Linked DNA regions of Saccharomyces cerevisiae S288C. The gene in region 2 interacts genetically with the main gene of each other region. Each region holds a gene or a part of one and is shown on either strand. Other genes may lie near its edges. The genes, in order: RNA14, SEC23, SED4 and SEC31.

Evidence for each region.
Region 1: mutations in SEC23 (region 2) and RNA14 together harm fitness more than expected from each alone (negative genetic interaction), as found in Saccharomyces cerevisiae (2 studies listed by BioGRID).
Region 3: mutations in SEC23 (region 2) and SED4 impair growth when combined (synthetic growth defect), as found in Saccharomyces cerevisiae (4 studies listed by BioGRID, with this or other methods).
Region 4: mutations in SEC23 (region 2) and SEC31 together harm fitness more than expected from each alone (negative genetic interaction), as found in Saccharomyces cerevisiae (3 studies listed by BioGRID, with this or other methods).

The regions. Positions count from the first base shown.
Region 1 is NC_001145.3:390,865-395,756, reverse strand, and holds RNA14 (cleavage polyadenylation factor subunit RNA14), read right to left. Parts: upstream 3,003-4,892; coding exon 969-3,002; downstream 1-968. Other genes in the region: ARG7 (glutamate N-acetyltransferase), read left to right, coding at 1-703; SAM complex subunit SAM37, read left to right, coding at 3,242-4,225; SEN15 (Sen15p), read right to left, coding at 4,272-4,658. UniProt on the Saccharomyces cerevisiae protein: Component of the cleavage factor IA (CFIA) complex, which is involved in the endonucleolytic cleavage during polyadenylation-dependent pre-mRNA 3'-end formation and cooperates with the cleavage factor NAB4/CFIB and the cleavage and polyadenylation factor (CPF) complex.
Region 2 is NC_001148.4:896,385-901,785, forward strand, and holds SEC23 (GTPase-activating protein SEC23), read right to left. Parts: upstream 3,284-5,401; coding exon 977-3,283; downstream 1-976. Other genes in the region: E1 ubiquitin-activating protein AOS1, read left to right, coding at 1-620; mRNA splicing protein SMX3, read left to right, coding at 3,810-4,070; DPM1 (dolichyl-phosphate beta-D-mannosyltransferase), read left to right, coding at 4,371-5,174. UniProt on the Saccharomyces cerevisiae protein: Component of the coat protein complex II (COPII) which promotes the formation of transport vesicles from the endoplasmic reticulum (ER).
Region 3 is NC_001135.5:232,217-238,697, reverse strand, and holds SED4 (GTPase-activating protein SED4), read left to right. Parts: upstream 1-2,375; coding exon 2,376-5,573; downstream 5,574-6,481. Other genes in the region: triglyceride lipase ATG15, read right to left, coding at 1-1,484; E3 ubiquitin-protein ligase RAD18, read right to left, coding at 5,735-6,481. UniProt on the Saccharomyces cerevisiae protein: Putative guanine nucleotide-exchange factor (GEF) involved in the formation or budding of transport vesicles from the ER. Positive regulator of SAR1 probably through inhibition of the GTPase activation by SEC23.
Region 4 is NC_001136.10:105,322-112,370, reverse strand, and holds SEC31 (Sec31p), read right to left. Parts: upstream 5,164-7,049; coding exon 1,342-5,163; downstream 1-1,341. Other genes in the region: SNF3 (glucose sensor), read right to left, coding at 1-791; ASF2 (Asf2p), read left to right, coding at 5,877-7,049. UniProt on the Saccharomyces cerevisiae protein: Component of the coat protein complex II (COPII) which promotes the formation of transport vesicles from the endoplasmic reticulum (ER).

The DNA.
Region 1 (4,892 bases), on a different chromosome or scaffold from region 2:
GATTTGTCCGAATATGGCTACCTTATTAGGTTTCATAGTTACAGATCTTCCTATTGAAAGCAAGGCGTTGCAGAAGATGCTGACTTTCGCTACTACCCGTTCATTTAATTGTATATCGGTGGACGGTGATATGAGCACCAATGACACAATTTGCATGTTGGCCAACGGTGCTATTGACACCAAAGAAATTAACGAAGACTCTAAAGATTTTGAACAAGTAAAATTGCAGGTCACAGAATTTGCTCAGCGCTTGGCCCAGTTAGTCGTTCGCGATGGTGAAGGTTCGACAAAGTTTGTTACTGTTAACGTTAAAAATGCTTTGCATTTTGAAGACGCCAAAATAATTGCTGAATCAATCTCAAACTCTATGTTGGTCAAAACCGCACTATATGGGCAAGATGCCAATTGGGGAAGAATATTGTGCGCGATCGGGTATGCAAAGCTGAATGACTTAAAATCTCTAGATGTCAACAAAATTAATGTTAGCTTTATTGCTACCGACAATTCAGAACCTCGTGAGCTGAAGCTTGTCGCTAATGGTGTGCCACAATTGGAGATCGATGAAACAAGGGCTTCTGAAATATTGGCTTTGAATGATTTGGAAGTGTCTGTCGACTTGGGAACCGGTGATCAGGCAGCACAATTTTGGACTTGTGATTTATCACATGAATATGTAACAATTAACGGTGATTACCGTTCATAAATTCATGTATATTTTGTTCAATCTTTCTTTTATAAGCATGGTTATATAAACGCACAGAAACAGAGTGTTTCCTGTACCTTCTGAATGAGTTTGGCTATTGCCATATTTTTGAAAGAATTAACTATTTCCGTTTTTATTTATGTACGAGGCACCTTAACTATCCTGTCACATCGTTTTTTTTTTACTTAATTACATACAGAGGTTCGCCTATTATAATAGATGTGTTGGTATAAATATTCATATATACCTATTTATTAACGTAATGTTAACCTGACTTGGTGCTCTCAACTGTTGGAATCTCTACTTGATCATTTAAAAAATTCACCAATTTCTGCGCATCGAGTAAATTTGTATTAAAATATTGACGTTTTGGTATAACGCTCAATAAATCAAGAACCTCTGTTGGAAGCTCTGAGTCTCTTTTGAATTTCTTATTGGAGAAGTTTCCATTGTTTCCAGTTTCCTCCATTAGTCTCTTTCTATCTGACGAACTCATATTGTAAGAGCCATGATGGCCATCCCCGTTTCCAGAAGAAAAGTAACTGTCTTCTTCCTCATTATACATATAAGTTAACTCTAATTTCTTTATTAAGTTGGAGTTTTGAATTTGATAACGACTTGTGAAAACTTCAATCAAATTTTCTTGGGGGAACCGTTCGAAAAATCTTTTCTCTAGAGAATAAACGTTGTTTAAGTTACCGAATTTCGATTCATAACTTATCATTTTCTTGTATATTTCCTTCAGCTGGGTTAAATCTTGCACTTTTTCCACTGATGTTTCAAATAAGGTTTTGATCTGCGAATCCTTATTTAAAAATATTAAAAAATCTAAGTATTTGTTGATATAAACTCCATCGTTTTGGAAGTATTTTAAACCCAATTCTAAAACCTTAAAAGCAGTCTTATAATCGTTTTGATTTTGAAATTCTAAATATGCATTTTCCACGTAGACGTCATGTGTTAATATACGCTTCAGTTTACGACATTTACCAAATACAGTACGTGCTGCGGATAGTCCTGATATTCTTTTCATCGTATTCATATACACGCAAAACACGAATGTTAATTTTTCCCTCTGTTTGTATAGCAGCTCTTGTTCATACTCTGTGTTATTATCTTCACCCGAATTTACATCGGAGGCGATCTTTTTATACTGCGATAGTAAAGTTTGAGTGCACTTGTCAAAACAGTTAGAAACACTTTCAGAATCATTATCCAGTTCGTAGCATTCGGATAACTTGAATGTAAGAGAAGGTGAGTCGGGATTAGCTAATAACGCAGTATATAAGATATTTTGTCGATCCGAATTTTCAGATATATACATTGAATAATCGTACCACATTTCAGCAGAAAATATCATGTATTGAATACCTTGTTTATAAACGTAACTGATTCTTTGTGATAGCATATCTTCACTAAGCATCAACTTATTCTCCCTTTCCCATTTTATCCAATTCAACCAAATCTGTAACTGCTGAATGTTTGAGTCTGAGGTACCTGGTTGTGGTATGTTTTTCTTGTTTGCTGTGCGCAGATTAATTGGAGATGCCCTTTTCAATCCATTAGTAACGTTCAACCATTCCTGGTATAAGGAACGGGCTTTCATGTATTCGGCTGATAACTCGCCAATAAATTTTCTGGCTGTTAGGGAATTTATTTCTTGTTCCCATTGAGTGTATCTATTCCACATTTTTTCTAGATTATCAAAAGGAACACATAGCATTTTCTTGTAGAATTCTCTGAGCATGTCAATTCGCTGTTGCTCCTCCCATTTGTTGAATGGCTTCCACTGCTCTAAAAAATTGAGATATTCGTTCCAAAAAGAAGATGATTTGGGTTCAAAAATTGCACACTTTTGCATAACTAGTTGGAATGCCTTGACAATAACAGCTCTCGCCTCTTGTCCACCAGTAATTAAGTTGTTTTTTCTGCGTATGTAGTCCAAATATGTTGACCAAAGAGATAGGTCATTATTTTCCAACTTGCCAGAAAGACATTGAGCCAAAATCTTCTCAACAGTCTCAAATTCATCTCTTGCCAATTCACCCTTTAGTTGCAAAGTCCACGCAGGTGAATAAAACGGGAATGTGTTATGAAATTGCTCGTATACTTCTCTCACCTTAGCGTATGACTCTTGAGTTTCCAAATATTGAATAAGCTGGAAGTATGATAAAATATTCGTGGGATTGTCTTTAATCCTTTCTCTAAGTCGTAGTTCATCTCCATGTATATTGTCACTAGGCTCTGCGACTTTGTCCGCAGAGGGATATAGTAAATCAGGAGTCGTAGAGCTGGACATATCTCTTGTTTGACTCTCCAGTTTGGCCTTTTATTTCGTTGTAGAATACTCTTTCATCACACAAGCTACACTTTTCTTCTTAATTATTACAAGGTAACCGACAATTTTGTCACGATTGTTATCATTTTAAACGAAGTGGGAAATGTAATAAGAAATAAGCTATTTAGAATGGCTACTATTTAATGCTGGAATTTGTATTTTTCAAATAAACGCAAAGCAAGGCTATTATCGAGTCAGTAATGGTTAAAGGTAGTGTGCATTTATGGGGAAAGGATGGCAAAGCATCGTTGATTTCAGTGGACAGCATTGCGCTTGTATGGTTTATCAAGTTATGTACTTCAGAAGAGGCAAAGAGTATGGTTGCGGGATTGCAGATCGTATTCTCAAACAATACAGACCTATCATCAGATGGAAAACTACCAGTGTTAATTTTAGATAATGGAACGAAAGTATCTGGTTACGTGAACATCGTACAATTCTTACATAAAAATATATGTACTAGCAAATATGAGAAAGGTACGGATTATGAAGAAGATTTAGCAATTGTTAGAAAAAAGGATCGCCTTTTAGAGTATTCCCTATTGAATTATGTTGACGTTGAAATTTCCAGACTAACGGACTACCAGCTCTTTTTGAACACCAAAAATTACAATGAATATACCAAGAAGTTGTTTTCAAAATTGCTATATTTTCCTATGTGGTATAATACGCCATTGCAACTAAGATCGCAAGCACGTGAAAATTGTGAGGAGATTATAGGCTCACTGACCCTTGAGGATGATGAAGAATTTGTAGAAAGTAAAGCAATGGAGTCAGCCTCGCAACTAGCACAATCAAAGACCTTCAAAATTGCGCATAAGAACAAAATTAAGGGTAAGCAAGAGCTACAACAGGTGAAATATAATCTTCAATTTGATAATAGACTACAGAGTTGCGTCAGCAATTGGTTGGCTGCCCGTAAAAAACTGGATGATTCTGTAATACTTTCCTCCGACCTTCTTTTCCTTGCAAATCTTTACGTTCAGTTAGGCCTACCTGATGGTAACCGCATCCGTTCAAAACTGGAACAAACCTTTGGAAGTGAATTATTGAATAGTATGTCGAACAAAATTGATGACTTCGTCCATAGACCAAGTAATAACTTGGAGCAAAGAGATCCTCAATTTAGAGAGCAAGGAAACGTTGTGATGTCATTATATAATTTAGCCTGTAAATACATATAATAAAAATAAACAAAATAATGCAGAAAGGTGTCTTTAAGTTCATTTTTCAATTTCTTTTCGGTTTTCGTACTCCTTTATAAACGAAGTAATAAACAATTGTACCATCATCGTTAATTATGGCCAGCAGTATTCTTTCAGTAGATGGACTACATAAGTGAGTAAATGTCTGGCTCAAGCATTCCAAAGTGAGAAAATTCTCTTTGTACTGTGACATATTGATGGGTAATATGAACTCTAGCGGGCGTGGCGATGACAAGCTATTTTCATGCTCTGTGTCTACATCGTTGCTCAGCTTGTGAGGCGGACGACCTCTCAGTAATCTCAGGCTATTTCCCTTCCATGATAAATCGTCTTGTAAAATTTCCACTTCCGTCCACATTTGGAAATAGAGTAAATTATTTTTTACTAGAGATATGATATCTGTCGTTGCCATTCTTATTTTCCTCAACCTCCTCGACGTAATTTCTCTTCGACAATTTATTATATCTTTCATATATTTCTGATGACTTTTTCATTTTCACTTTTTTTCAACCCATAACGGCTTTTTGTTCAAAAGAAACTGATCATGTCATCGATTAAAAGTAAAAGTATGCACATCAGCCTCGTGACAGATGAGGATCTCATGTCAAAAACCGCCAAGAAGCATGCATTATTGAATTTGAAACGT
Region 2 (5,401 bases):
TAACTCGAAAACTAAACATTCCATTATATGTTGCTGGTTCTAATGGATTGTTCGCTTATGTTTTTATTGATTTGATTGAATTCATTTCAGAGGATGAAAAATTGCAAAGTGTAAGACCTACCACCGTTGGTCCCATTTCAAGCAATAGGAGCATTATAGAAGTTACTACTAGAAAAGATGAAGAAGATGAAAAAAAAACATATGAACGAATCAAGACCAAGAACTGCTATAGGCCACTGAACGAAGTTTTAAGCACAGCAACATTAAAGGAAAAAATGACGCAAAGACAGTTAAAAAGAGTCACTAGTATCTTGCCGTTAACCCTGTCCTTATTGCAATATGGTCTCAACCAAAAGGGCAAGGCCATAAGCTTTGAACAAATGAAAAGAGATGCGGCCGTATGGTGTGAAAATCTGGGTGTACCAGCAACAGTGGTAAAGGACGATTACATACAACAGTTTATCAAACAGAAAGGTATCGAGTTTGCTCCTGTCGCGGCCATTATAGGGGGTGCTGTAGCGCAGGATGTCATTAACATTCTAGGTAAAAGGCTATCTCCATTAAATAATTTCATTGTTTTTGATGGTATTACATTAGACATGCCACTTTTTGAGTTTTAGATATATACATACCTACTATACTGTAGTTTCAGCCAAAAAAAATAATAAAAAAAGCATAATTGGAGGCAGTAAAGCATTATAGTCATACACAATAATAATAATAATAATAATAATAATAATAATAATAATAGTAGTAGTAGTAATGGTAATAAAAAAGTTAGAAAAGAAATTAGATACAGATATTCGTAGTAAAGGCCACGCAGTACAAAAAAGACGGAGAATATATTATATAAAATCCTCTACTCTTTTCGTTCAGGTCCAAAGGAAAATTCTTGCACGCGCAATGGACTGAACAGGCCTTATATTATACAAAAAGCCTAATAACGATCAAATAAAACAAAAGAAAGCCGTTGCTCCTATGCCTGACCAGAGACGGCTACTTGTTGTAAGTGAGTCATGAAATTTTGTAAGGAAACATCATCTGTTAAGACAATTGTAGATCCTCCGCGCGCCATGTCTTGATAGTTATCGGAAGGATTCAATTTAGATAACAAGAATCTGGCTTGAGAACCACCGGCTTCAGTATCAATGAATCTTGGTAGCGGGAACCTATCTACTAACAATTCTGCGGCTTCTAATTTTGGCTCTTCAAGAAGAGCTTTGAAATCTGCGTACTGTGGATCGTCTTGGTAACCGGCTTTTCTCCATTGAGCGATTTGCTCACCGTGGTATATTAAGATGAAGAAAAATGTATCTAATAATAGAATGGTATTGGGTTTGACGGAGATAGAGTCTAATAATACCGGTTGTGGATCGTCCTCCATTGAGAAAGAAGTTAGAGTTGGTTGAATCATGATTAAAGAATTAGTCGTATCCTCTCTTGTGAAAATATGTCTATAAAATGCAGTTTCATCCGGAGAATTGTTAAAGACACTTAAGAATTGGGATCTTCTTAAATAATAGGTAAATTGAGGATACAGTGAGAAATTTGGAGCCAACCTGAAAGATTGAGGATCATCTTTATTATAGTCGGCGTACTTTTGACATAGCTTAATCAAAGTTCTGTCTAACCATCTAATAACATCTGCACCATCATCGGTTTCAGCCTTGTGAACAGCAATACGAGCCATCAAAACGGCAGCAGCTTCTTGATCGAAAGAAGCTGCAATGGCAGGAGTACCGAAGGGCAAAAGCTGGTTTGCGACCGTGGTGACTCTGATACGGTTGGTACCAGAGGAGTGTTGATAAGTAGTGATGAATTGAGTATATGCTAGATGAGGTCTATCTGCTGAACCAGGGGCAGACATCATTGGGTTAGAATTAGCCGCAGTGTTTGCAATTTCAAAGAAAATCGCATACGAGTGATAAGGCGATAAGGAAGCCATCTTCCAGGTGGACGTTGCACCTATACCGATTTCAGATTCACTGATGTTGTTAGCGTCTGTCTTCTTTACAGCAGAAGCATGCCCAATCAAACCTTGTACCTTCAAGTCTTTACTTGTCTTGACTGCCATATTACCATTGAAAGCCATCTTCAAATACCCTTCTTCATCCTTGGCAAACAATCTCAAGTATGATTGCTTAAAAATCGCGGTAGAGAAGGCATCGGTTAGCAACAACACACCTCCAGTAGAGTCGGTCAACTGTTTCATTTCAGACATACCGATTTGATCGTAACAACCGGCAAAAATATCAACAGTGTGTCCATTGGCGGCAACTCTTTGTGCAATCTGGTTGTAAAACTTACAGGCCTTCTTGTAATGTTGCGCGTGATCAGAATCGATGTCGTGGTGGGATCTTAAGGGATCTTTTAACTCTGAGTTAACAATCAAACCTGGGGCCACGGTGCCTGGACCGGAGGCGAAAAGAATGATTCTTGCTGGGATGTTCTTATAGCAGCCCTGTAAAAGCAAAGATGCAATGTTCAAAGCGGAACCTGTGGCCCTTAATGGCCTATGACCCGCTGGAACAGACCATTGGTCTGGAGACAGATTTTCCAGTAATTGATTCAGTTTGAACTCGACCTGTTCCAAGGGCAGGAAGAACCTATTCAAAGAGAAGGGCGTAACTTTGTTCATGGCGTTCGGTAGATGAGATGCAGCACCGCCGGGGCCGGTAGGCTTTTGGCCGGTCAACATTTCCGTCAACGCTTCGAGCTGGTACTCCCTGTCTCCTCTGAACACGTTGCACCTGTCAATAGTTTCGCTGGACAGATCGTGCAATTGAACAACGTTTCCGTAAGTGATCAACCCAATCAGCGCGTTGGGAGGTAATAGAGACAAAGAAGTGATGATAGACTCCTTTAGCGAATCGAGGTTCTCGGTTTCCGAAGTCAAATCCACAACAAAGAAGAAAATGGGAGGAACGGTAACGGGCTTATTGGTGATGTACTCAATGGTGGTGGACTGTAACTCTAGCGGCATATTCTCCTGTGACAAGTTGGTGTACTGTGGAGGTAAATGGTTCCTGGAGTTACAGATGGGACAACTCCAGGACGAATTGCGCGGATCAATCACACAGTAAGGATTTAGAATCGACTTACAGTGTGGACCGGAACACACAACTGGATTGTATGGGGCAACGTTCAATTCGTCATACTCCTTCAAAGGTGTGTACAAACAGCCCACAGGGACGACGTTGCTGTTAGCGTCGCTTCTAGTAGAGGGAAACACGTTCCAGGTGAAACGGACCCCGTTGATGTCTTCATTAGTCTCGAAGTCCATGGCTAGAAAAGAGGAAGGGGAGGCAGGCGACAGACAGATAAACACTGGCTTCAGTTAATTGTGTGTCTTGCTGAACGTGGAAAGATCACAACAAGTATCTTTTTTTCTTTTTTCAAACGTGTTTTTCTTTTATTCTTGCTAGAACTTTCCTCCTTTGTAACAAACGAGAGGCGGCGGGCTAGTCGTCGCAAGCGACAAATCTCAACTGACAGTAAATAACGGTGATAAAACAAAATTAGCGCAATCTCTCAAACTACTGAGGACAACCAACTTGAATTGCACTCTTCCAAGTTGTAGCATGGCTTGGGGGGTGTGTGATCCCATCCTGTATTATGGCAAAGCAGGCAAAACAACCGCTCTGCCGTCCGGGTAACTTTTCTTGTTCCACCTCTTTTCCCCAACATATATGAACATGAGATGGTAAGAGCAAGAAACAACGGTTCTATGAGCAACGCAAAAACAGCACAGCACACACAGCACCGCGTACTATACCACACCACACACTACGTCACAACACAACAAGACAATGAGCGAGAGCAGTGATATCAGCGCGATGCAGCCGGTGAACCCGAAGCCGTTCCTCAAAGGCCTGGTCAACCATCGTGTAGGCGTCAAGCTTAAGTTCAACAGCACCGAATATAGAGGTACGCTCGTGTCCACGGACAACTACTTTAACCTGCAGCTGAACGAAGCAGAAGAGTTTGTTGCGGGTGTCTCGCACGGCACCCTGGGCGAGATATTCATCCGCTGCAATAACGTGCTGTACATCAGGGAGCTGCCGAACTAAGACGACTGTGCTCATCTCCCTTACATACCAGTATATTTACATACGCCCTCTACTGTAATACAATATCATTCTATAGCACTCGCATCGCGTATTTTTTTTTTATTTTCTTGCTTTATATTGTTCTATTTTTCTTCCTTATTCCTGCCTCTGGATTTCCCTCGCATGACAAATAGCGTGGAAAAATAAAGGATTTCCAGTATTTGAAAAATTTTCAGTATTCTTACGTGTTCCTAACTCATATAGACCGCTATTGTAATAACGCTATCGCTTCAATTACACACAAACATACACGCACCCACAATGAGCATCGAATACTCTGTTATCGTTCCCGCTTACCATGAAAAGCTGAACATCAAACCCTTAACAACCAGATTGTTTGCCGGCATGAGCCCTGAAATGGCCAAGAAGACCGAGTTGATCTTTGTCGATGACAACTCACAGGATGGCTCCGTTGAGGAGGTGGACGCCCTAGCTCACCAAGGCTACAACGTCCGCATCATCGTCAGGACAAATGAACGTGGTCTATCCTCCGCCGTGCTTAAGGGTTTCTACGAGGCCAAGGGTCAGTACCTGGTATGCATGGACGCAGACCTACAACACCCTCCAGAGACCGTGCCCAAGTTGTTCGAGTCTTTGCACGATCACGCCTTTACTCTGGGCACCAGATATGCCCCAGGTGTCGGCATTGACAAGGACTGGCCTATGTACAGACGCGTCATTTCCTCCACTGCTAGAATGATGGCCAGACCTTTGACCATCGCCTCCGACCCCATGAGCGGGTTCTTCGGTCTACAAAAGAAGTACCTCGAAAACTGCAACCCTAGGGACATCAACTCGCAAGGTTTCAAGATTGCCCTCGAGCTTCTCGCCAAGCTTCCTCTTCCAAGAGACCCTAGAGTGGCGATCGGCGAAGTGCCATTCACTTTCGGCGTGAGAACGGAAGGTGAATCCAAACTGTCAGGTAAAGTCATTATCCAATACTTGCAACAACTTAAGGAGCTCTACGTCTTCAAGTTTGGCGCCAATAACCTTATCCTTTTCATTACTTTCTGGTCCATTCTGTTCTTCTACGTTTGCTACCAGCTATACCATTTGGTCTTTTAAAGGAAGTGAATGGTAACGAAAAAAAAAAATCTTTCTTTATATGTCTCTTTAAGTACTCCCTTTCAGTTATATGCCTTTTATTGTCTGTCCCTATTCTAATCCTCTACTCGGGCCATCATTGTTAACGTAATATTTGCCCTAGGGTAAAAACATTAGGTTGATTAGGCCATAACTCATTCTGCCCCACCCCCACACATAGGGTTCAGGAACTTGGTTTTCAACCCTAC
Region 3 (6,481 bases), on a different chromosome or scaffold from region 2:
CGAGTCGTCGTGGTTGGTGCAGCGTGGCTTTTAGTCTTGGTAATGAGCCTCGATGAGGATTCCCAGTCTCTGCTTGGAATAAACTTCCAGTTGTAGCAATCTACGCAGGGCTCTGGTTCAACGCACTTGGCAGCCTGCTCGTATCCAAGGAGAACTTCGTCAATGACTTTGTGGATTCTGTGGTTGAACATGTTTACACTCCAGCCCTTGTCGTTGACCACATCGTAGACACAGACTCTACCAGTGTGGCACGCGGTTTCCATAGCGTAGCCCACCAGTGAGCAACTTGAACTAGCTCCGTTGCATGTACCCATGAAGATTGGGTCTGCGTTGTGACCGAAGTGCCAGATACCCTCCATGTATGAGGGAAGTCCCGGTGGGAATGGTAAGTGAAGTCTTTTTGAAGGTAGTAGCTCTCCAGGGGACTCGAATGCGACCGCAGGCAATCCAAAAGTGCGGCCCAGTAAACTGGCCAATGCGCCTCCCAGTGAGTGGCCTGTGACCCATATGGCCGCATCGGGGTATTCTTTGAGGACGCCTTTGTATATGTCAACGACTGCAGAGTAAAATCTATCCTTACGTCTCAGTTCCTTTTCCAGGCAAGACTCATCGCATATATACGACTTCACATAGCAATCGCACACGGTAGTCCACAGGTAGCTCACTCTTGCACAACAACACGAAAATAACAAATTATCGTTGATCTTGTCGTTTCCAGTTGTCTCATCTTCGCCAGACCCTGGCAAACCCTGAGCGCTGGTTCCCTTTATCGAGAGTACCACGATATTCTCCACTTCATTGTAAAAGACGTGACCACGTATACCATCACCATCCCAACCAAAATCTTCCGGCTCTGTTTCATTCCACGGCTCCGTGACGTTACGCCAGTCTCCCGTTTGCGGTATTCTCACGTAAGCATTAGACGACATTAATGCTAACGACACTACTGTACCTCTATCTGTGATATTGGGTGCCACAATGTCATCATCTATCCACATGGCGTGTTCTTCCTCCTCCGTCATGTATGTTTCTCCGTAAATGTACGACTCTATGAATTCAGGATCTCTTTCCTTCATCCGCTTCATCAATAGCGGCATCCTTCGTAGCTCAAACTCAAAATCGAATGGGTTAGTGGTGGCATATTCGGCATTAGTAGTCCATAGGGGTTCTTGGTCTTCGAAATCCTGTCCTTGAGTTGTGGTTTCTTGATACAGCATTCCAGCGGCAGAAATAACTTCTGGAGTGACCTCCAGCCTCTGGTGTAGCCGATGGTTTGCTCCGACGCCATGCCTGTAGATAGACTTAAGTCTAAAGGTTCCATCAGATTTTTGATCCATGGCACCCCTGGATGAGCTCTTCCCTACCGATAAATAATCCGGTAAAGCAAAGTAGTAAGCAATAAGGCAGAGCACTGTAAGCGTTAGAATGCATCCTAGATGCAAAGGAGAAGCAAATCTCTTTCTTGAAGGGCTTTTATGCAACATTCAATAGAATATTTCCCTTGTTTCCTTTAATTGTAATGCCTAGATCAGTTCTCAATCACGATAACAATTTTCTGAGCAGCGGCGTACTTTCTTTGACTTATCCAAAAGGTTGACACTGATTTGAGTGTCTCAAAAGCCTTTAAATGATAGAAACAAGGCTTTTAGGCTAGTCTTATGTAATAGAGAAAGTTCATCTATATCTACAGATTCTTATTATGTACTGTTGAACAAAGGTGCGGGTAACTGCGATCACACAATCACTTTTTTCCGGAAACGGCTGTCTTCAGCGAACAACAATATAGTAGAGATACTGTATTCAACTGGAAATGCTTTCCCTTTTGCCCTATCATTATTTTCTTTCCGATGTTATGCTTATTATATCTGTGATTGATAAGAGAAAAAAAAAAAAGTGACAGCTATAGAGAAAAAAAAAAACCCTTAGAGAATCCTACCTGGAATATATTTAATGAGCAAGTCTATCTGCTGCACATTGGTCACGACACATGTTAGTGTATATGGCCCAGCCTATGTATTTACGATTTAAATCACCTTGATAATTATTAAACGATATCCAGTTTATTTCGTATTATGTTACATCTGTCAAGCCCTTACTTAGCAATTTTGAGCCCTAGTATTTTTGACCACATTTGTAACTGCCCTATTTTATTATCCTTTTAGCCCTCCTGTCCTTTTTTCTTGGTTGTAGTAATTTTCATTTATATCTCGAGAATTGTACAGTGTAAATGAGAACTGTGAACGCTTCAAGTAACCTACGCTTATAGCTGCTTCGATCGACGGAGGCTGTTTGTCAACAAGCATCACAATTCCCTACGATACGTCCTCTCTTCCTTTTTTTTCTCTCCTTTTAAACTTAGAAAAACTAGCATAATAATGAGTGGCAACTCTGCAAACTATGACGTCGGATATCCGATATATGGTGCTAAATTTATAAATGAAGGCACTCTACTGGTGGCTGGTGGTGGAGGCCAGTTCAATTCCTCGTTTCCAAACAAAATTACAGCTTTAAAGGTGAACTTCCAGAAAAAGAAACACATTAGAAGGTTTCGTGAGATCACATTAGATTCGATTGACGATGCGCCCACTTCATTGGATTGTAATAATAACCTGATTCTAGTTGGTTGCAATGAACTGTTTAATGATTCCTCCATGGAGAACGTTAACCACCACTTGAGGAAGTTTGTGTTTGAACAAGAACATCTAAAATTCGTGGCCAGTATTGATTTCAACAGAACTACAGACCCATCCGTTTTCACTAAGTTTGTTTACATTAATCAAAGGGCCACAGTAGCTGCAATTGCGTCCTCTGAAGTGCCCACTGTGATAAGAATCATTGACCCGCGTAATTTGACGGAAAATTACGAAATTGAAACGGGTAGGGAAGTTAATGATTTGCACTTCGCCCCTAACGGTATTCTTTTGTCATATATCACTTCTAATTCTTTGGAAGTAGCGTCTGTTAGGGACGGAAATTTTGTAGCAAGGAAAACGGATTTTGATAAAAATCTTGTTCTTTCTAATATCAGGTTTCTCAATGACAATACGCTATTAGTGGCAGCATCATTATCGAACTCTGATGGAGTTTCCTTGTTAAAACTAGGTGTGAGTTCCAAAGGTGTTAAAATTTTAAAAACAGCATCCTTCATGTTCGATTTGAATGGAATAACATCGATGGATGTCTCCCCAAATAAGAAGTTCGTTGCATTATCATCTAACGATAACTTGGTTGCCATCGTCAGCGTTGAAAAGCTAAAGCTTGTTCAGTTGGTTCCAAGAGTACATGAATCTACTATAACAAAAGTTACTTTTTCTCCAGATTCTAGATATTTGGCAAGCACTTCTATGGGGAACACGATCAACGTTCTGAAGCTTTCCGGTACATCGTCATCAATTTTACGAAATATTTGGAAATTTTTCTTGAATTTTGTTTTGTTAGTGGTTTTGGCTGGCGCTATTCAACTAGGCTACAAACATAATGTGCACGGCTTTATTTACAAACATGCTCATGATATATATAAGTCGAAATTCAAGGAAAACACTACCATAGACCAAGGATCTTCTTCTTATTTCACTATTAATGACGATTACAGAGGCATTACTGAAAGTGCAGATATCATCAGCGCTACAGATGTTGCTAGCGATATAGAGACTGAATTTTCCTCATTTGACACTAGCACTATGAGAACCACCACAGAAGATGAGCAAAAATTTGTTTGGATATCGTCATCAGCTGATTCACAATTCACTTCTGCAGATATCCCAACATCAGCTTCTTCTTCTTCTTCTTCTTCTTCTTCTTCTTTCTATGAAGAGAGTGTCACTAATGAACCAATTGTGTCTTCACCTACCTCTGAAATTACGAAGCCGCTAGCCTCTCCTACAGAACCGAATATTGTCGAAAAACCATCGCTTCCACTGAATTCAGAGTCGATAGATTTGTTATCCTCATCTTCAAATTCTATCACAGAATATCCTGAGCCGACTCCTGACTTGGAGGAGAAATTGTCCTCGTTAATAGTAGAACAATCAGAAAGCGAAATAACAACAGATAGAGAAAGCGTTTCAAAACTCTTAAGTACTGAATCACCTTCGCTATCACACATGCCGTCTTCATCTTCATCTTCATTATCTCTTTCCTCATCGTTAACAACTAGCCCTACTACAGCATTATCCACAAGTACCGCGACTGCGGTTACCACCACACAAACAAACCCCACCAATGATGCAGCCAACACATCTTTTCTAGACAACTCAAAACCGGCATCCACGAGAGAGATTTATAAGACAAAAATAATCACTGAAGTCATTACAAAAATTGAGTATAGGAATATACCTGCATCAGATTCCAATGCAGAAGCCGAGCAGTATGTTACAACATCTTCTTCAATGTTGTTGACGCCCACAGACACTATGGTTTCTTCGCCCGTCTCCGAAATTGATCCCATAGCATCAGAATTAGAGCGTATGGTTGAAACACCTACGCATTCTATTTCTATAGCATCCGAATTTGACTCAGTTGCGTCTAATTTGATCCCAAATGAAGAAATTTTGTCAACATCAGCATCCCAGGACTCTATTTCCTCGCATCCGAGTACATTTTCTGATTCATCTATAACCTCTGGCTTCCAGTCAATAGAAGTATCGACTGTAACTTCTTCTGTTCTTGCTTCTGAATCAATCCCTTCAATCTCAGATTCCACTTTTTCTAAATTTCATTCCATCTCTGAACCTGTTTCATCAGCTATTGTGGAGACGGCAACTAGCTCATTCTCAAAAACAGAAACGAAGACTTCGAGAGTAATTGCTTTCTCTACCGAGGATTCAGAACGCTCCAGTGCCTTGATTGATAATTCGGAATACACCAGTGTGTTGGCTGACAATTTGGAACCCACTAGTGTTTTGGCTGACAATTCGGAACCCACTAGTGTTTTGGCTGACAGTTCGGAACCCACTAGTGTTTTCACTGATGCTGTACAATCACCTAAGACGAGTGTTGGTCAATCTTCCCTATCAGAATCCACAAATATTGAAGGGACTTCTATGGCATCTATGATCTTTAGTAGTAGTGGTGCTTCAATTGGCGCTCTGTCTGATATAGGCAAGGGAACTTTATCCGTGGAGAGCGCGTCAAGCACAGTAGCTCAGCCGATGCCAGGTGTAACCACAACAGCACCATCTTTTGTAAGTAGCCCTCACAAAATATCTGCTAGTTCAATTGATGCATCAGGATTTGTACAGAAAGAAATAATGATAGAAGTACAGTCATCAAAAGATTCATCTGAAGCGTTTGGGGTACGCCACAAAATCAGCGAAAATGTAAATACTCCTGTTTCCCGAATGCTTACGACGGAAATGCAGGCATCTGGTACGGTAGATGTTACCGAAGACGTCTCTCTATCTAGTGAAGTTATTTCAGCACTTAACGTGGAGATCACTTCTTTGCCTAATCCAGTGGCCCCTCCGCAAACAATTGCAGCACCTTTGAATAATAATTCGAATACAAACATTGTCAACGATGATAATGCAGTAGCAGGAACCGTAAACTACGCTGGCCTTCATGACGAATTGTGAATAACGAAATAATATATATTAATGTTAAATATGATTACATAGCTTTGTGCACATATCTCTATGTCATCTTTTATGCATTTATATTTTGCCCATTTTTAAATAAATTATTAATTAACAAATGTGCACAAGCTAACAAACAGGCCTGATTACATATACACACCTTAATTGTTACCGGGTGGGTCTTTACTATATTCATTCAAGTCCATTAATTCTCTTGATAAGTCAGCATCAGTTGAATCTTCGTTAGGCAAATTTCTTTCACCAGCAACTCTATCTTCGTTGATAACAGTGTCCTGATCCTTCTCCATTTGCTGATCCTCGGTTCCCTGGTCACTTTGAACTTTTTCAACACCATCTCCATCATTAGAATGTCCCACTGAACCTGAACTGTCCGATGAACCTGTTTTTATTTTCATTTTTGCTTCCCTGATAAGCCTAGCAAAATCCTTCCGAAACATAACCATCCATCCTTTCCTATTAAATTTATCGTTTTTGAAATTTTCAAGTAATTTCCTATATGAAGAAGATTTCCCATTACTCTTCATTATCATTAATTTAGAAATTCCACCCTTGTTGCTACTATTTTGGGGGGTTTTATTGTGTGAAACATCCCAGCTTAACAACTGTCTTTTTAGTTCAGCTTCATCAACAGGTTCTAGAGAATCACAAAAATTAGAATTCCAAAGCATTTCGTAGTGATTGTATCTTTTAATCATGTTTTGCCTAGTACCATTAGTTGACAGTCCCAACGATGACAGTTTTTGTTTTATTTGGGATTGAGTCATAGACGTAAAATTGATCTTCGGCAATCTTTGGTGTTCTGCACTCATCATTGAGTTTAAATACTTATCCACATGTGAGGTCTCACCACATGAGCTTTTGTCGACTTCTGGAGTTCGTACCTTGAA
Region 4 (7,049 bases), on a different chromosome or scaffold from region 2:
CGATACGAAGATGCGTCGTTTCTTGCGTGTGTCCCTTGCGACACTGCACTTGACACGAGCAAGCCCCAGGTAATGGCCCATTGGTAAGTAGAAATAATAGCACCTCTTAATGATTTATGTGTAGCTTCTGCTTGGTATAATGGAACAACCGCTGAAATTGCGCCTATACCGATACCTGAAATGACCCTTCCCACAATCAATAATGTGATTCCTCCAGCACCTACCTGTAAAGAATTTCCGATAGAGAAGATGAAAATTGTACTGAAAATGATAGTAGGCTTCCTGCCATACGAATCAGATATAAATGGTGCAGTTAAAGCCCCAAAAAAAGTTCCCAATGACAAAAATGACACCAAAATGGACATTTGTTGGGCGGTAAATGAATCGTGATTAGGTGCTACGTGTGACTTCACATAGTTCATAGATGTAATACTGTTGATCAGACCTGTATCATAACCAAATAAAAATCCGCCAACTGCAACAAAAACACCTACGCATATAGACATCATCATAGATTGTTTCTGAGGAGGCTCTGAAAATAAAATTGAGTTGTCGTCTATGGTAGAAATGTCATCCGTAAACACGGATGTCATATTAGATTGCCTGTCAGAATTTTGCCGCTGCAAGCTCGTAGGGGTTCGTATGCTACCTGTCGTATCATCTGTTGTATGATCTTTGTTACTATTGTTTCGTCGCAGTGCTATGCCCTTCACCCTCTGAAGAGCTTTGTCTAGGAAACCCTGTTTCTCTTGGCGTAATGTTTCGCTAGAACTGTTACTATTAGGATCCATTTATAAATTCTTCTTTCTATGCCAACAAAGGCATATCCTTCTGTTTAAAAAGGTCCTCAGTAAAACTTTTCTGTTTTAATTTCTATAGTGAGGTCAACTTATAGTGACTCTCTCTGTTTTTCTTCAATAAAATGCTTCTTATCTGTCCTATGATCTCTCGATGTGTAAGTACTATCAATGCAATTTGCCGAGGATAGGACTATTGTCTAGTTTTTCTCAGTATGACTGAATTTCCCCAGATTATAGAATAATTGACAGTTCCTCCTCCTTTTGTTCTTTAGAATGTGCGATGCGGCAAGTTTAAAATTTCCCCGGAGATTTGCCGCTCGAGGTGTACATGGTAAAAACATAAGGGAAAGGCTGTAAAAAAGATATAAGAGGTATTGGTTGGTTTTGAGAAGTAATGTTAAGCTAGTTCTAATTGTGATCTTGATTAGGTTTAAACATAAAAGGATAAGTACATAAATATATAAATATAATACTATAAGACATAATAAGAAAAAAACAAGGCCAATACGCCACTTTTTGTACTGAAAGTTTTGAGACTGAATTAATTCAAAGTCGCTTCAGCTATGCCAATCAACCTCTTCACTCCTGTCAGCCAGTTACCACCCTCTTGAGCATGGTTTGTAGCGATATTAGCATGGATGACCATAGCTTCTTTGTATTTCTTTTCCTTCATTAATGCGACGAGGTCATGTAAACAATCGATTGTTGGTTGGGTTAATAAATCCTGCTTTTCCAAATGGTAGAAAAGAATCTTTAATCGTTTATCACAATCCTTTAATTGTTTGGAGTACTCCTTTGGGGTCAATGGTGTTACGCGAGCCAGTTCTTCTTTCAAGAAGTCGACAATGGGTTGTTGATCAGCTGGAATTTCATGACTGACATTCTCAGCGGAGGTATTAACCTGAGAAGCCAAAGTTGGCGGTTGAGAAGGCTGCAATGGAGAGGCCGAGCTGGAAAGGGTTGGAGGATAAGTAGCACCTTGAGATGGGTTTTGTTCTATACTAGCTAACTTGTTGCTTCTCTTCTTCATGCTAATCGGAGGGGGGCCAGTGGGAGGTTTGTTAAAAACGGGAGGAGGAGAGGTCATGGTATGGTTATTAGTATACGGACCGGTTGGAGGATAGGAGGAACCGTTGGGTTGAGTGGTTGCAGTTGGAGCATATGGATTAGAGGCCTTTGGCAACGGAGCTGGAGGCACGCCTCCAGATAATGGGGTTGCTACTCTTTGTTGTGGTGGTGGAGCATAGGGGTTCGATGAAGCTACCTGAGCGGTGTTTGACGTTTGGTTTGCTGTAGAAATAGTACCTATTGGGAATTGTTGTGATGATTGAGGAGGAGCGTATGGATTTGATATGGATGCCCTTGGTGACTCAGAAGTTGCAACCAAGGATGGGACTCTAGAATTTTTGTGTAGAGGAGGTGGTGATACCATTGACACAGAAGAGGGAGCTCTGGAAAGAGGTGGCGGAGGCATGGTACTAGCAGCATTTGCAGGGATACCATTTAATGGAGTTGGTGTCGATAGGATATTTGGAGGGGCAACAGATACAGCCTTGGCACGAGATGGTTTTTCTTTGACCTTCAAAGGCAAATCATTCCAACCATCATTGGCTTTACGGTTGAGATGTGGCGTTTGACCCGATACAGCATTAATTGGAGGTTGTGAAGGAATAGAGCTAGATTGAGCATTATAGTCGCCCATAATAGGCATACCAGGTTGTATAGGAGCAAAAGTGTTTTGCGGAATCGACGTTGTAGATACGTTCGTTGCAGGAACTGTTGCAGTGGCATATGGGTTAGGCGGAGGAGCAAAAGAATTCAATCTGGTCGAGCTATTTGTTTTGTTAACAAAAGGTGACGCCATCGAAGGTTGGCTTGGTGGCGCATATTTACCTTCTGTATGAACAGGAGCACTAGTGGTGGTTGCTGGAACGTACGGCTTTGGAGGTAGAGCATTTGCAGAGGCGCCTGGTGTCATACCATAAAATGGTGCCTGCATACTAGGAATAGAAGTAGTAGAAGGCATTCCAGGAGTTGGTAGTACAGGAACGTTCTTATTTGTCTTGGCGTTTGTATACTTGGCTTTGCTGGTCGTCGCTGTCGCAGGATTTTGTGCCGGTAATGATTTGCCGGAAGCAATCAAGACACGTGCCTTTTCTGTTTTAACCTCTTCATTGTCACTTGGTAAACTATTTAAGAATTCAGTGGCTAGTTCGAAATTTCCTGTGGAAGTAGTTAAGTTGATAAATTCCAAAAATTTGGCAATTAATTGCTCATTATTAATGGTAGAGCTTCCATTAATGAAGTTGGAAAATACGGTGAATCTTTCAATGAACTCAGTTAGACATTCGGAATGAGCTTCATAAATTGTCTTATTATCTTTCTTCAATTTATCCTCCAAATCTGGAAATTCTGATAACCAAATTGAAGCCACCTTATCTAATGATCCGGCAGCCAAGTACAAAGTCAAAGAATCTTGTCTATGACCATTTTCCTTTAACCTGTCTCCCAATTTAATCAACATTTCATTCCTCTGGGCGATATCATTTGGATATAAGTTTTGAATTGCTTTAGAGATAAACTTCCACTGAGAGACATCCAAATTTTCAACCAAATCATCTACTTCCCTCTTAGAAATGGAGTATAGTATCCTCGAGAGCGATGATTTAGATCCATACTTCGCAAAATAGGCATTCTTGACACTTTCCTTTAATCTTTCGTTATTTGAATCTAATGCGATCACCATGGCCTCCATTAGTAAGTCATTCTCTAGAGAATTTTTCACAGCGCTCTTAATGTTGCCAGAAACCAAGTTCTTGGAAATAGTTTGTTCGATATTACCAGACAAGGAGAAATCGCCCTCGGGTTGGAAATTGGTTTCAATTTGTTGAAAGAATTCTTCCCCATCGTCTTCTTTCTCATTGTTGGCATCGTCTTGTGCATCTGATTCATCGTTGTCGAATGCAAGAGCCTCTTTCAAGAACTCCTCAGTACCGTCCATTGATAACTTTTCCAATAAATTCCAATCTTCTTCATTAACGTCATCAATAACTTTGACCAGTCTTTGATTTATTAATGGTTTGAAATCCTTAGTTTTCAACGCTTCACTCAAAGTAGTGTTTGATTCTAAGCCTGAAATTTTTGGGTTTGTTATAGATACACCTTTACCATCTGGAGTAATTTGAACCAATTTACCACCGAAAGCCCAATGAGCTGCGGGAGATGGTTCCCCATACCAAGTTGGGGCTTGTAAATGGAAAACAGTTGGCTTCTCTTTTGATTCCTCTCGGGAAACATTATTCCAAAAATCTGTTTCAGATTCTTGCTGCTTAGTTTCGGTTTCTTGCTCATCCAAAGTGTTTGTGAGATTTTGCAAAGTCTGTACCTCAATTTTGTTATCAAAGGAGGCACAAGCAAATAGGTCTGGAGCCTCTGGTGCAAATTTGGTCTTAAAACACCAGTTTCCACGAGCTGGGAATTGGGACAGTTGTTCGGCTGACTCAGGGTTCCATAGAAGAACGGTATTATCTCTACCACTGGACAATAATAGATGTTCGTCCTGATGACACCAATCTAATGACAAAATACCCTTTTGATGGCCTTGATTTAAAGTCTGCAATGGTGTGTTGGCGTTTCTTAAATCCCAGATCAGGATAGATGGATCATTATCGCTACCAGTAGCCGTTGCCACTCTTGTGGAGTTTTTTGGGTGCCATTCAACAACGGACAGCTGTTGCTTGATACCTGAATTAGGTGAAGTGTAACTTAGATGAATGACTTCCTTCTTAGCCTTCAAATCCCAAATAGATGCGAAATTAGACGACCCGGCAGATGCAAAAACATGGGCCAAAGATTGGTTCCATGCTAGGGAAATGACCTCGTCAACGGACGACATCGATTGACCCGGTGTCAATGGAGTATAATTGGAGGGCGATTCAGTGCATTTATTCATGTCCCAAATAAAAATTTCACCGTTGTTACCACCCGAAGCAAGAACGTTGTCTTGCTTTGCGTTAAACTTTACCGTCTTCACAGAGGAAGAATGGTTGCTAAATCTGGCCATGGAGTTGATAGCGTTGTTTGCTTCATTGGTGGAGTACAATTCCAAACTACCGTTATCCAGAGCACCAGCAATAATCTTGTTATTATGAGACCAATCCAAATCATTGAATTTGGAATCCACTTGCAAGGAAGCAATAGGCTTCTCCGAATCAGCAGCCAACAATGACCACAATTCTAGAGATGAATCAGTGGAGAAATTAGCATCCACCGTACCAGATACGGTACCAGAGACCAATAATGGAATTTTATCATGTGACCACGCAAACGTGGCTGTTCGAGAAAACTCAGCAAGTTTGACCATCTTTATTGTTCAATTAGGGAGAGCAAACGGGAACAAAGGGAAATATGTGTGAGTAAAGTGTCTATCGCAGAAGCTTGCCTTGTCCTAATGTTCTACACCTACAGTAGCGAAATAGTGCTGGTTCGTGACGTGTAAATTCAGAATGCAACCCGACTACAGGAATAGAGGAATGGATCTGACACGACTTGTTTGTTCTTTTCACTTTTCGTTCTCGGGCGGATTGATCGTGTATGGTGATTTTTCACGCTGAAGGGGTAGAACCAGAAGGGGATGGAAGGGGATAGATGAAAAAAAAAAAAATCTATGAAGTAGTAGCAAGATAGGCCAGATCTCCAGTCAATTGATGAGTGTGGTATTAGGCAGAAGCAGAGGACGGTGAAGAAGCATATCACATAATTCTCCACCAATTCTAAACGCACAGTTGCACCTTTTTTGGAAGACAATCTTTTCCTTGACTCGGAGGGCATATAACTTTGTATATTGTAAATTATGAAACCAACTACCAAGGCAGGTATGTTGCATAGCAATGGAGAAGATCTTCTGCGATGCTAGTATTAGCAAAGATGTAAAAGCGCTTTTCATGTCTTTAGGAGCGACGCGACGCGTGAGTAACATATCTATCCATAGGACAAATAAATAAACACCGGGGACGATTTTTGCACACAGCTTCGATCAGTGGAGAAAGGAGGGAAAAAGGCCAAGACTGAGTGCTTATGCCAAAAAATCGTGGTGTCTTGGATGCCATCACTCGCAGTGTGATAGATGGTAGTGATCAGGAGTCGAGCTCATCTTTCAACTCGGACAAGGAATATGCGGCTGTGACGAAGGGCCTCAGCAGCTCAAGAGTACAAAAGAAGTCATCTTTAAGGCAGATGAAAAGCAAAGTCAAGGAGCTTCAATCTTTAGTGAATCATTACCGAGAAAATGAAGCCGCTTTAGTGTCTAGCGCCAAGTTATTGTCCGGCGAGATCATAGGCTATGAAATTAAGATGGCTAGTTTACATGGAAAAATGAAAAGTATCCTGGATGAGAACAACGCGTTAAAGGAAACGCACAAGAGCTCTGCTGAAAAGAGAATCGAACTTGTTCGACTTCCCTCTAGCAAAGAAGAACGCAACTACGATGAATACACTTTGCTTGTTAATCTCAAGAAGGAAATCTGCGCCAAGTTACAGGACTACAAAAACGTCCAGAACACGGTGAACACCAAGTTAGATGAGATTCACACGTTCCATGAAAAATACTACGAAGGACTAGAACTAAGTTTAGACAGCAAGGTGTTTGATGCAGAAAGCTCAAAAGAGCTGGCCAAAGTGAGGCGAGAACTGAATAACGTGAGAAAAAATTCCGAAATCAAAGTGAATAACTTGAAAATGCAACTGCTACAAGCAACCAAATCACTGGAGCACTTGAAGAAGCAGGCTAAAGCAAAGGATGACTATCTTAAATGTATTCCTGAGCTGGTCGACAAAGCCAATCTCACGATGTTATCCTACAAGAAAAGCATCGCTAACCAGAGGGAGACTATCGAAGCATTACAAGCAGAACTATCGCAACAATCAGAAACAAAGGGGCAAATAGAAACAGAAACACAAAATCAAGTACAAATCCCCACCAATGTGACTTTGGTGGACCCCTTTGAGGAAAACAATCCAGAGGATTTGTTCGCTATCCAGGAACAGGAATTGCAAGATCTAAGGTTGCATAAGAAAATGGCCGATGAGAGGAGCCGAACTACCCACTTGCATTTAGAAAGAAAAAATAATACCATCAAGCTACTGCAGAGTTACGTGCAATCATTAATTCAACGGCTACCACCAGCCCAGCGCAAACACCATTTGGGCATATTCCAAAAACTTGGTAGCGAAAAATCGTGTCCACTCGCC